3 linked regions of the Oryzias latipes genome follow. The protein of the gene in region 1 purifies or fractionates together with the protein of each later gene. This does not show direct contact. Links are inferred from orthologs where the notes say so. Each region holds a gene or a part of one and is shown in the gene's direction. Other genes may lie near its edges.

The links.
Region 2: the proteins of bud23 (region 1) and ube2o purify together in Homo sapiens (affinity purification with mass spectrometry; 5 studies listed by BioGRID and IntAct, counting the BioPlex papers as one, with this or other methods). This does not show direct contact. The link is inferred for Oryzias latipes from reciprocal best matches to the Homo sapiens genes BUD23 and UBE2O.
Region 3: the proteins of bud23 (region 1) and trmt112 purify together in Homo sapiens (affinity purification with mass spectrometry; 5 studies listed by BioGRID and IntAct, counting the BioPlex papers as one, with this or other methods). This does not show direct contact. The link is inferred for Oryzias latipes from reciprocal best matches to the Homo sapiens genes BUD23 and TRMT112.

The regions. Positions count from the first base shown.
Region 1 is NC_019871.2:13,769,396-13,771,864, reverse strand, and holds the end of bud23 (probable 18S rRNA (guanine-N(7))-methyltransferase), read left to right. Parts: intron 1-619; coding exon 620-709; intron 710-824; coding exon 825-879; 3' UTR 880-1,964; downstream 1,965-2,469.
Region 2 is NC_019859.2:3,047,228-3,050,881, reverse strand, and holds part of ube2o ((E3-independent) E2 ubiquitin-conjugating enzyme), read left to right. Parts: intron 1-163; coding exon 164-300; intron 301-1,308; coding exon 1,309-1,512; intron 1,513-1,593; coding exon 1,594-1,651; intron 1,652-1,747; coding exon 1,748-2,528; coding exon of another isoform or gene 2,529-2,532; exon of another isoform or gene 2,533-2,783; coding exon 2,784-2,808; 3' UTR 2,809-3,654. UniProt on the Homo sapiens protein: E2/E3 hybrid ubiquitin-protein ligase that displays both E2 and E3 ligase activities and mediates monoubiquitination of target proteins. Negatively regulates TRAF6-mediated NF-kappa-B activation independently of its E2 activity.
Region 3 is NC_019868.2:11,958,293-11,962,263, reverse strand, and holds the end of trmt112 (multifunctional methyltransferase subunit TRM112-like protein), read left to right. Parts: coding exon 1-68; intron 69-3,027; coding exon 3,028-3,129; 3' UTR 3,130-3,366; downstream 3,367-3,971. UniProt on the Homo sapiens protein: Acts as an activator of both rRNA/tRNA and protein methyltransferases. Together with methyltransferase BUD23, methylates the N(7) position of a guanine in 18S rRNA.

The DNA.
Region 1 (2,469 bases):
TGATTTTTTTTTTTCAGTGCAATTTTGCTCATTTTTATCTGGACTCATATTTCTTTGAAGGTTTGAACTTTTAGAGTTTAAACAAGAGATAAAAGTTTGAAAATATCTGAAAAAAGTGCATATGTGTACTGAGGGGATTTACAGCCTTAAAACATCTATACCATGTTGAGGATTTCACCTATCACGAGGTTGTTTGTTCTAGAATGTAACTCCCGTGGTAAATGAGGGAACACTACTTTTGTTTTTTCTACATATTTTTGTGTGGCTGATTTCCATATCTATCTATAAATGTAGGTTGAAGAGGAGCTTTTCCTAAACTTGGACTTGGACAAAAACTGAAGCTGAATGCAGATTTTTTTTGTTCTTCTGACAGATGTAAAGCATGCGTTCCGAAAAACACCCCCCAGGTCCGGGCGTCAGTCGAAGCACGTTCAGTCGTACGTGTTTCTGATGAAGCCAGACCAAAAGAATAGAAAAAGGGCCGTTGTTCTGACTGAGTTCAGAACTCTCAGGCAGATTTTCCTCCCTTTCACATTCTGTGGTTCAGGCGTTCAGTTTGGTAACAGGTGAAGGATTCTAACTGCCTGCAATTTATTTATTTATTTTTGTTTTTGTGAAGGTGTCGATTTAAAAATATGAAAGGAAAATCAGTGAAGAAGGGACGAGATTGGATCTTGGAGAAAAAGGAGAGAAGAAGAAGACAGGGAAGGTATGATCAGTAGAGCATTTTGAACCTTTACACGGTAGATGTTTGTGTAACAGAAACATGTGAAAGCTCCACCTTTATGTGGCTGACAGCCTGCTCTGTGTTGTTGGACCTGCAGGGAGGTTCGAGCGGATACAAAGTACACCGGTCGTCAGCGGAGACCTCACTTCTAGCTCTGACTCATGCAGCTCATGCCGTCATCATCTCTGGTCTGAACCAGCACACGCACGGTCAACGCTGGAGCCTGATTGCACTTTTCTACTCTGTTGAGTCAAGTGGATGAGGTGCAAACATGAGATGCTGTTATAGCCAATCAGCTTCTTATTTGTTCAAGTGATTGGCAATTTGTTTCTCCCAAATTGGGTGAGATTTAACTCTGTTTGGATTTAACAGGTGTACGTGTCAAAACTGAGCTGTGAAATCAAAAGGGTTTATAATAATAATTATGAAATATTCAATTCTTCTTTTAGTTTCATAGACTCAAACCATTTTTGTCTTTTAAATTGATAAACCAAAAAAGATGAAGATATTTTGACTGCTTACTTGAGGATGAGACCCACTTGATTTCTTCACTAAGAAAAAGCAGAGCTCAAATGTCACCAGCTGCAATTCAGAACAGAGAAAAGTTTGATAGATTTTGAAACAACACACAGACATCGATGAAATCAAACTTTATTTATAAAGCACTTGTACAAAAAGTGCTTTATTTATAAAGCACTTTTTGTACAATAGGCTTAAAACAATTAGAAGCCAAATTACAATTACTAGACTACAGAAACCCTCAATACTCCATGACTTACTTTTTGGTGCAGTGAAGCCATGGATGACTAATAAAACCAAATAATTTGTGTAAACAGTTGGCTAAGATATTGTCTTTTGTGTAAATGAAACAAAACGGATACCCTTAAGAGTTACTAGTGCAAATAGGCACACATGCGCGCTAATGCAGAGTTGGCGATTGGTAAAAGTGAGACAAAGAGATCACAAATATGAACGTGGACGTAGAGGCATTCGACAAATTTTTAAATCATTTCCAATTTGTTAAAAACAAAGGCAAAAATGTTTTCAGTTAACTGCAAGTTATGTCCTGGAGATGAAATGCTTTCCATTGCCCTAGTGTCAATGAGCAACCTATATCTATACACTATGTAGGCTCCTATTCAATGTACATTTTTTCATGCTCGTGTTGAAGTTAACGAGGTGGTGCTAAATAAAACCCTTGTGTAGCCTTTAGGGTTTTATTTAGTGGATTTTACAAGGGTATCTTGTTTGTGCGTGCTTTATTTCCTTAATAATTTTATGTGAGTGGGAAAAAAGTAAAGTAACGAGTAGTGACATTTTAAATTGAGGAATGAGTAAATTAATTACAATTTCATCCACTTAAGTAAAGTAATCAAGTAATTTACCCAACACTGACGGACACATGAATAAAACTAAATGGGAATAGAACCAAAGTGGAAATCTGGATTGATGCTGATGTGAGGAACTGGTATCGAAGACAGTAGCCACACACAGGAGGTCCCACTGCATGAGGAAAATGAAGTTTTAAAAATATACGCTCACTTACTGCGACTTATAACGTTCTGACACCTTAACAGGACATAACTGACCCTCCTTACCAGTTTATTGGGTCTGTATTGTTTTCTTTTGCAACATTCTCCTATTGAGAATTAAGGAAACATATACAATACCCTGCAATGACTCTTATGATTAGGTTTACGTGTTTTCTTGTGAAAATATTTGATGATAAAAATAATTTTCAT
Region 2 (3,654 bases), on another chromosome or scaffold:
AGGGTTTTTACCAAAACCAGAGAAGATAAACTGGGTTTATTCATTCTGCTCTGATCTCAGTGAATGAAACAGTTGGTCAAACCCGCCCGTGGGTTCTCTGGTAAGGTCGGACTCTCCCACCAAAAACCGGATCTGCCTGATCGTTATTTTTCTTCTCCAACAGAAACGCACTCCTTCAAGAAGATGGAGTTCCAGCCGGCGGAGGCGAAGAAGTTTTTCAGCACTGTGAGGAAGGAAATGGCTCTGCTGGCGACGTCGCTGCCAGACGGCATCATGGTCAAAACCTTTGAGGACCGCATGGTGGGCGTCTTTACCGTTCTGGTATCGCAAAAGAAAACCTTATATTAACTGTCAGGCATAGTGGTGGGAGAGTGATGGTTTGGGTGCAACTGATGTGTGTCTTTAGCTAGAAAAATGATTTGATTCTAATGTTCCAGCATGTAAATAACTTGTATAATAATCTGGTTTAACCCTTTAACACCGGAAACGTCGTCGGTGACATGAAGTGACACGCTATTCGAGCTAGATTTAGCCGTTTCCGCTATTACTGTAATTCCAGTGGATTCTGTGGCCGAGTCTGAGGCCAGTTTAATGCAGAAAGTTAGTTTATCCTCTGTGGGGGGGTGGGGCGTTCCTGCCCCGTGTGTGTGTGGGGGGGTCAAGCATGAAGAGATGAGATTGACGGGCAGAATGGTTTGGCGTCAGTCTGTTGTTGAGGAAGAGAGAGCTGAGCCAGAAAGCATAACTCTGAATTTCCCCTTCGTTCCAGTTCTCACCTATAGCCATGAGCTCTGGGGTCATGACCCAAAGAACCAGGTCCTCCGTAGGGGGGCTGAGAGCAGGAGAGGTGGCTTGGGCATCTGGTCTGGATGCCTCCCTGGGGAGGTGTTCTGGGCATGTCCCACTGGGAGGAGGCCCCGGGAAGACCCAGGACACGCTGGTAGACTAGGTCTCCCTGCTTGACAGGGAACACCTCGGGAGGAGAGGGAAGTCTGGGCATCTTTGTTTAGACTGCTGCCCCATGACCCCAACCCAGATGAGCGGAGGAAGATGGATGGATGGATGGATGGATTATCCTCATTTACTCTTTCAGATTCTGTTGAAATAACGTCAATGGCGTCAACAGATGAAGAGCTACGGTCATTCAAAACACGTTAACGCTGGAGCTAAAGCTCAGGTGTTGAAGGGTTAACATGATTCAGATTTAGACGTCTTGTTTTTACCTTTTTGATTATTTTAAGTCTGGAGAACCACTTGCACATCTTCCATGACAATCAGTCGCTCGGTTCATTTCTTTCCGCGGTGCAGGACCTGTTTTCAGCTCTGATCAAAGGGCCGACCCGGACGCCGTACGAGGACGGCGTCTTCCTGTTCGACATCCAGCTGCCCAACATCTACCCCGCTGTGCCGCCCCTTTTCCAGTACCTGTCCCAGTGCAGCGGGCGCCTCAACCCCAACCTCTACGACAACGGCAAGGTCTGCGTCAGCCTGCTCGGCACCTGGATCGGCAAGGTGAGCGCGCGGGGGGAGGGGGGGTCTTCGTAGCTCCTCCTCTGAACCCACCCTGACGGCTTTGTGGGTGCTGCGTTTCAGGGCACAGAGAGGTGGACCAGCAAGTCCAGCCTGCTGCAGGTCCTCATCTCCATACAAGGTTAGCCGCACTCCACACTCTGCTTTTGGAGCCGTTCTGGAGTCTCATGCATGTGTGTGTTTGTGTGTGTTTGTGTGTGTGCGTGCGTGTGCGTAGGCCTCATTCTGGTCAACGAGCCGTACTACAACGAGGCCGGCTTCGACAGCGACCGAGGTCTGCAGGAGGGCTACGAGAACAGCCGCTGCTACAACGAGATGGCTCTGATCAAGATGGTTCAGTCCATGACGCAGCTCCTCCAGAACCCCGTGGAGGTCTTCAGGCAGGAGATCCGGGACCACTTTGTGTCCAGCGGCTGGCGGCTGGTGCACCGCCTGGAGGCGTGGCTTGAGCTGAACGAGGCTGCGGAGAGGAGCCACTCGTCCTGCAGGAGTCACCACTTTAGGGACAGAGCTTCATCCGTGGAGGAGCAGCTGCCCGCGGGGTCCGTCCCCGTGGCCCACAGCAGCCCCAGCAAGCTCGGGGGGGAGGCGCTGTCTGGCGCCGGCGTGAGCAGCATCATAGAGGAGGAGCTGGAGGACTCGTGGCAGAGTTCCTGCCCCGCGGCTCAGCAGGAGCTCAGCCACACCTCGGACTACGAAAGCACCCAGGGGAGCAGCTACCTGTCTGCGGACAGCAAGGCGGCGGTCCGGAGCGGCGCCTCGGAGGCGGGCTCGGGCCCCGCTGGGGGAGTGGCGTCTGCAGGAAGCCAGCCGACGGTGCGACCAAAGAAACGGAGGAAGAGCTACCGGAGTTTCCTCCCCGAGGGCAGCGGTTACCCCGACATCGGCTTCCCGCTCTTCCCGCTCTCTAAGGGGTTTGTGAAGAGCGTGCGGGGGGTGCTGCTGCAGTACCGCGCTGCGCTGGCCGCCGCCGGCTTCCCCGAGAACGCAGAGGACAAGTAAGTGCCTCCCCGCCTTCCCCCCGACACTTCTGCACTCCTTCGCTCCTTCTTTTCTGCCTTCTCATCTGCCTCAAGCCATGGGGGAGGATCCATGGGTGGCGACGGAGGCGGGGGGGTCTGCGCTGCCCGCATTCGTGCCCTTTCCATCTTTATTCTCGTCCTCACTGCTCCTGCTGCCTTTGCCTCCCATAATTCCTCTGGGCGGCACGGCGGCCGCTCTGCTCGGTGGTAACGTCCTCTCTTCTCCTTCAGTGACCCCTCCGACGACTGTGACTGATAAACGGGGGTCGCTGGACCTCCAACTTGGACCTGCCGGAACCAAGACGGGCTTCGGGAGCTGCTCTGGAGTGACTGGAAGATCCCGTACCATGAGCCTCCCCCCTCCATGTCTGAGCAAGCTTCAGCCTCCTCCACCCTGCGAGCAGGGGTCCCACGCCGATCTGTAGCACCGCCCACGTTCCTTCTGCTCCCCCGGCAGCTGGACGGGGCGGCCAGGAGGACTCTTTTTCATGAATCCGCTGGTATTTTTCTGCCTGAAAACAGAGTTTCTAATGAGATCAGGCTGAATGTGAGTAAAATTGCCAACCGCAGCGGCGCCGCCACTTCTTCCACTCTCCATTTGCACTGACGTTTACAGATCACCTCAGGAGGGCGGGACTTTTGACGGCGGCTCCGCAGGAAGCGGCTGGTGTCTCTTCATGGGACTTTTAGGCCGTTTCAGGTTTTCAGTGCTGGTTTTGACAGTGAAGCTTTGCATCACCTGGAGCTGAGCCCTCATCACTGTACCACCACCACAGCATCCATTCCATCATGTCAACATGTTGCCTTACTTGAATTGTTCTTGATCTCAGATCTTTGAGCTCGCGTCGTGCTTTCTATCATCCTCCTCCTCCTCCTCCGCTCTCGCTGCGACCCCGTGTATCCGGATGTGGGGCAGCGGCGTCGGCGCAACGCCAAAGCTTCGCTCCGATTCGAACATCCCGCAGAACTGGAAGAAATGACTCGAGTTACAGCACAAAGGCACAAGTTTAGCTCTTGTTTTCTGCATGAAAATGGACTAAATCAGGGTTTTTATTTGCCGCCCTGCAGTGGAGTCGTTGCTTTGCTGCAGATCGTGTTGCAG
Region 3 (3,971 bases), on another chromosome or scaffold:
GTGAACTTATTGCAGATTACGAGCAAAATGAAGAGTTCCTGAAGAAAGTACACAGAGTGCTGTTGGAGGTATGTGACAGACTGCAGAGTCAGGGGGGTATTCCAGAAAGCAGGTTATGTGAGTTACCACGATAATTTTGAGGCTAAGGAAGTTGATAACCTCAGCTTTCGGTTCCAAAAATGGAGGTATGTTTCAGGGTCAAGTTGCCATAGCAACTCATGCGCTGAACATAGCCTGGTCTGGAGCAGGTTTAGTTGAAGGTTAGTTTGTTTTCAGAGAGGTGAAGCAGCATGCCGTGTCCATTTGAAGATGATTTAGATAATAATACTTTTTCCACCATGAGAGGGTGATAAGACCACATATGGATGTTGGAAATATAAACTTTTACTTTGATCTAACTTAATTATTTGCTTCAGCTAAGATAAATCATTTTTTGAGTTCAGTTCACTTAAAAATAACACATAGTTTTCAGACAGTTATGTTACTTTCATTCAAATTAATTCAATTAAGTAAGTGTAACTTTGGTGCTGCTGTTAGATCGGCACCGCAAGGAATTGTGGGAAACCATTCCCTTTGTCTGTCTGGACGGATTTAGGTTTAAGTGTGGGTTTTTGACCAAATGTGTTTAGTTGTTTAGCTGTTTTACTGTGTTTTGCCGAGTTATTTTATCCTCTTATGCGTGTTATGTTTAATTCTTTCTGCAACACGAGTGAGAGAGAGGGAGAGGATGATGAGGTTATGTAGCTTATTTAGCACAAGCAGTGCTGACTTGTGTCAAAACGTTAAGTTAAAGTCAGAGTCATGATAAATGATTAGATGTCGTAATTTTCAAGTCCACACTGTATCAATTATTTCAATGTTATAAAAATGAAAATATCTGCAGCCTCGAACTTAGACATATGAGAGTTCCAGAAGTACAAGAAATTAAGATGGAAAAACATTTAATTGAATTCGATTATTATGACATTTAGTTAGATAAATATGTAAATTTTATTTGTATATTTTAGTTTTATAAACAATTGTTGAGTTGGATAGACATAAATATATATATATTTCCCTTAAGAGCATTTTGCGTCACAATGAAAATAGAAATGAGATAGAAACTCGTGCATTTACTTTGTCCGTTCTTTTTCTCCAAGCAGAAACTTTCTTTTGCTGATGATGCAGCCGTGTTACTTTTTTGATGGTCTTATAATCTTCATACGCCGTCATTAAAATCTCAGACTCGGCCTCACTAAAGTACAGCGCTCTCTTTTGTGACTCCGGAAATCGGCGATCCATTGACAATGTCTTTATGTACTTGCCGTGCACGTGCATTAACCAAGTCGAGCGTAACTCATATTCGGTCTTTTGGAACCCACATACCCAGAGTACTGTAAGCAAGTTCAGGCGGATTTCAGCCAGAGTTCAGGGTTAAAGTCAGGGTAGTTTAAAAATGCTTTCTGGAATACCCCCTAGGAGTCTCTAAACCTGATCCCAGTGAGCTATTGCCCTGCTTGTTTCGCAGCTAACCCCTGCTTCAGTATTTGTGATTAGCTGGATTGAAGGAGCCCAGTTTCTGATTGACTGAACAAACCTGATCAGTCAGCAGTTATGCTGACTGTCCTCTACTTTTCCTTCTGCGCTGCAAAACTGTAAACACCGTCTGGTCTGAAGTCTAAGCAGCATCAAAGCCAGTAGTGACGATGAAAGAGGGTAATCTACTGCAGTGTATTTCAACCAGTGTGCCGTAGGAAATTGCCCTCATTAACTGATCTAAAAACATTTTTCATCTCCAGGAAATCAGCTCTTTTTTCATCCAAACAGGCCCTGATAAAACACTGAGTAGTTAGGAATATAAAAGATCTTAAAATTACTTTTTCTTTGTGTTTATTTAATTCTATTAAAGACATTTTGATAAGAATGACTGTACTGCGATTTACCTGCAGCTATGACAGTTTGCGGAAAAGTCCCGCCCATTTAACTGTCTCCGCCAATCATTCTTGAAGGCTTAATCACATGTCATCAGTCTGACCAATCAGAAGTGCTTAAAGTCTTCACTTCCTTGTTCTTAATTCTGCTGATAAAGTCGCTCAGTTCTAACAAAAGTACCAGCTAAAGCTCGTCTTTAGCGGTGTAGCTTTCCACAGAGTCCGGTGTCAGACCGTGGAACAAGTGAACAAAACAATGAAGCTCAGAGACACGAGTCTTTCTGCAATTTTTCGGCAGTTTTCACACTACATCTCCCATGATGCATTGGCTTAAAGGGCCAGTGTCCCAGCGCACAACGAGTTGTCCTTGTGAAACGTCTTGAAACCACAACAAACAAACAGTTTCTTAATTTTCTAATATAACTTTCATTTCATCTCTTAGAAAAAAACAGCCGCAACTTCCTGCTCTTCCGGCAAAAATGCACGTGAGATTGCGGGGGGGGGGGGCTCAAAAAAAGTGTGCCGTGGCTCAAAAAAGGTTGAAAAACACTGATCTACTGAACGTGTCTCACTTTCTCCCAGAGTTACCTGCTTTATGCTTTTGACAGATGAGCCTGCTTCATGCATGTCACATTAAACAAAACAACCTATTTAAAGTCCAACTCGGTTTATCTCTTAATCTATTTTAAAGCGTTCACAGTGTCCGTTTAATTATAATTGTGCCATTTTTCAGCAAAATTAATAAACCTGTAGTTTTCTAGAACATAGTTTCTGCAGAACGGCAGGAGTTCATTAGAAATTCACCACTTAAATTGTGTGTGTGTGTGGGGGGGGCTGTTGGTGCAGAGTAAGCCTACCCCCACTTCCTATTATCCATCTGTTTTTACACTTACACACTAGTTTACAGTCCCTCACAACCCAAACCTATAGTGAGCAATATTGACACTATCCAGCTTTGAGGCAGATTCCAGCTCAGACGAGGATAAAGAAGTACATGGATCTGTTCGTCTGCAAGTGGATGCTTCAGAATGGAGTATAGCAGGGAGCTTGTGGCCTACTGGTTGTAGTTTCTAAATTACAGCTACATTTTTCCTTTGTTCTCCGCTCCGCCTCACAGGTGGAGGTGATGGAGGGATGTCTAAAGTGTCCTGAATCAGGACGGGAGTTCCCGATCACCAAAGGAATCCCCAACATGCTGCTGAACGAGGATGATGCCTAAGATCTCTGTATCTGCAGACCAAACCTTTCCCCCCGTTAAGACTGTGTGCAGAGAAACAGACCACTCTGTTATTAGTTGATAGTGCTTTTAGCATTTCAAGTGTCAGATACCCAAAGAGATGCTGAAAAAACCCATCTGGAAATGTTTGAACAAAGTGAACCCTTTTTGATTTTATCTGTATTTATTTTTATAACTTGTTTTTCTTAATAAAACTGTCCAGATTTTCCTCACAGCTGCAATCTGTGGTGTTTTTTTTCCATTTAAAAAAAAAAAAAAAAAAAAGGAGCTGTTTGTGCTGCAGGCGAGCCAAAGAGGTGGGCTCTGAACTGAATCGGTCCTCTCTGAGCCTGATGACGTGGCTGCAGGCTGCCTGCATTTGGCTTTAAGCAGAAGGAGGCAGGCAGGGTGGAAGTTGTTTTGGAGGAAGTTTTTTTTTTTTTTTTTTTTTTCTTAAAGCCACACATTACAGCTTTTCTTTTCACCCAGTCTGGGTGGGATCCAGTGATTTGAGATGCACCATGGTGTGTCTGATTACTCTTAAGCTTGAGGACAGATTGTGGTTTGGTCCATGCTGATAAATTAAGTGTTTTCTCCACGTTCTGCAGCAGGGGTGGAACAAAAGTCTGTTTGCTTGCAGTTATCATTTTTAGAAACTCTGCCAGAACCAGTGATGAAAGGGGGTGGGAGGAGGGGGGTTTGACCAGAAGCCTGGAGGCAGCCTGAGTGTTTCCTACCTTTTCCTTCTACTTAGAGCAATTACAGGCCTGCACCCGCAGCTATAATAACGGTATAATGGTATGGCAGCAGAGCAGCAATAAAAGCCACCCCTGGTAGATTAATAG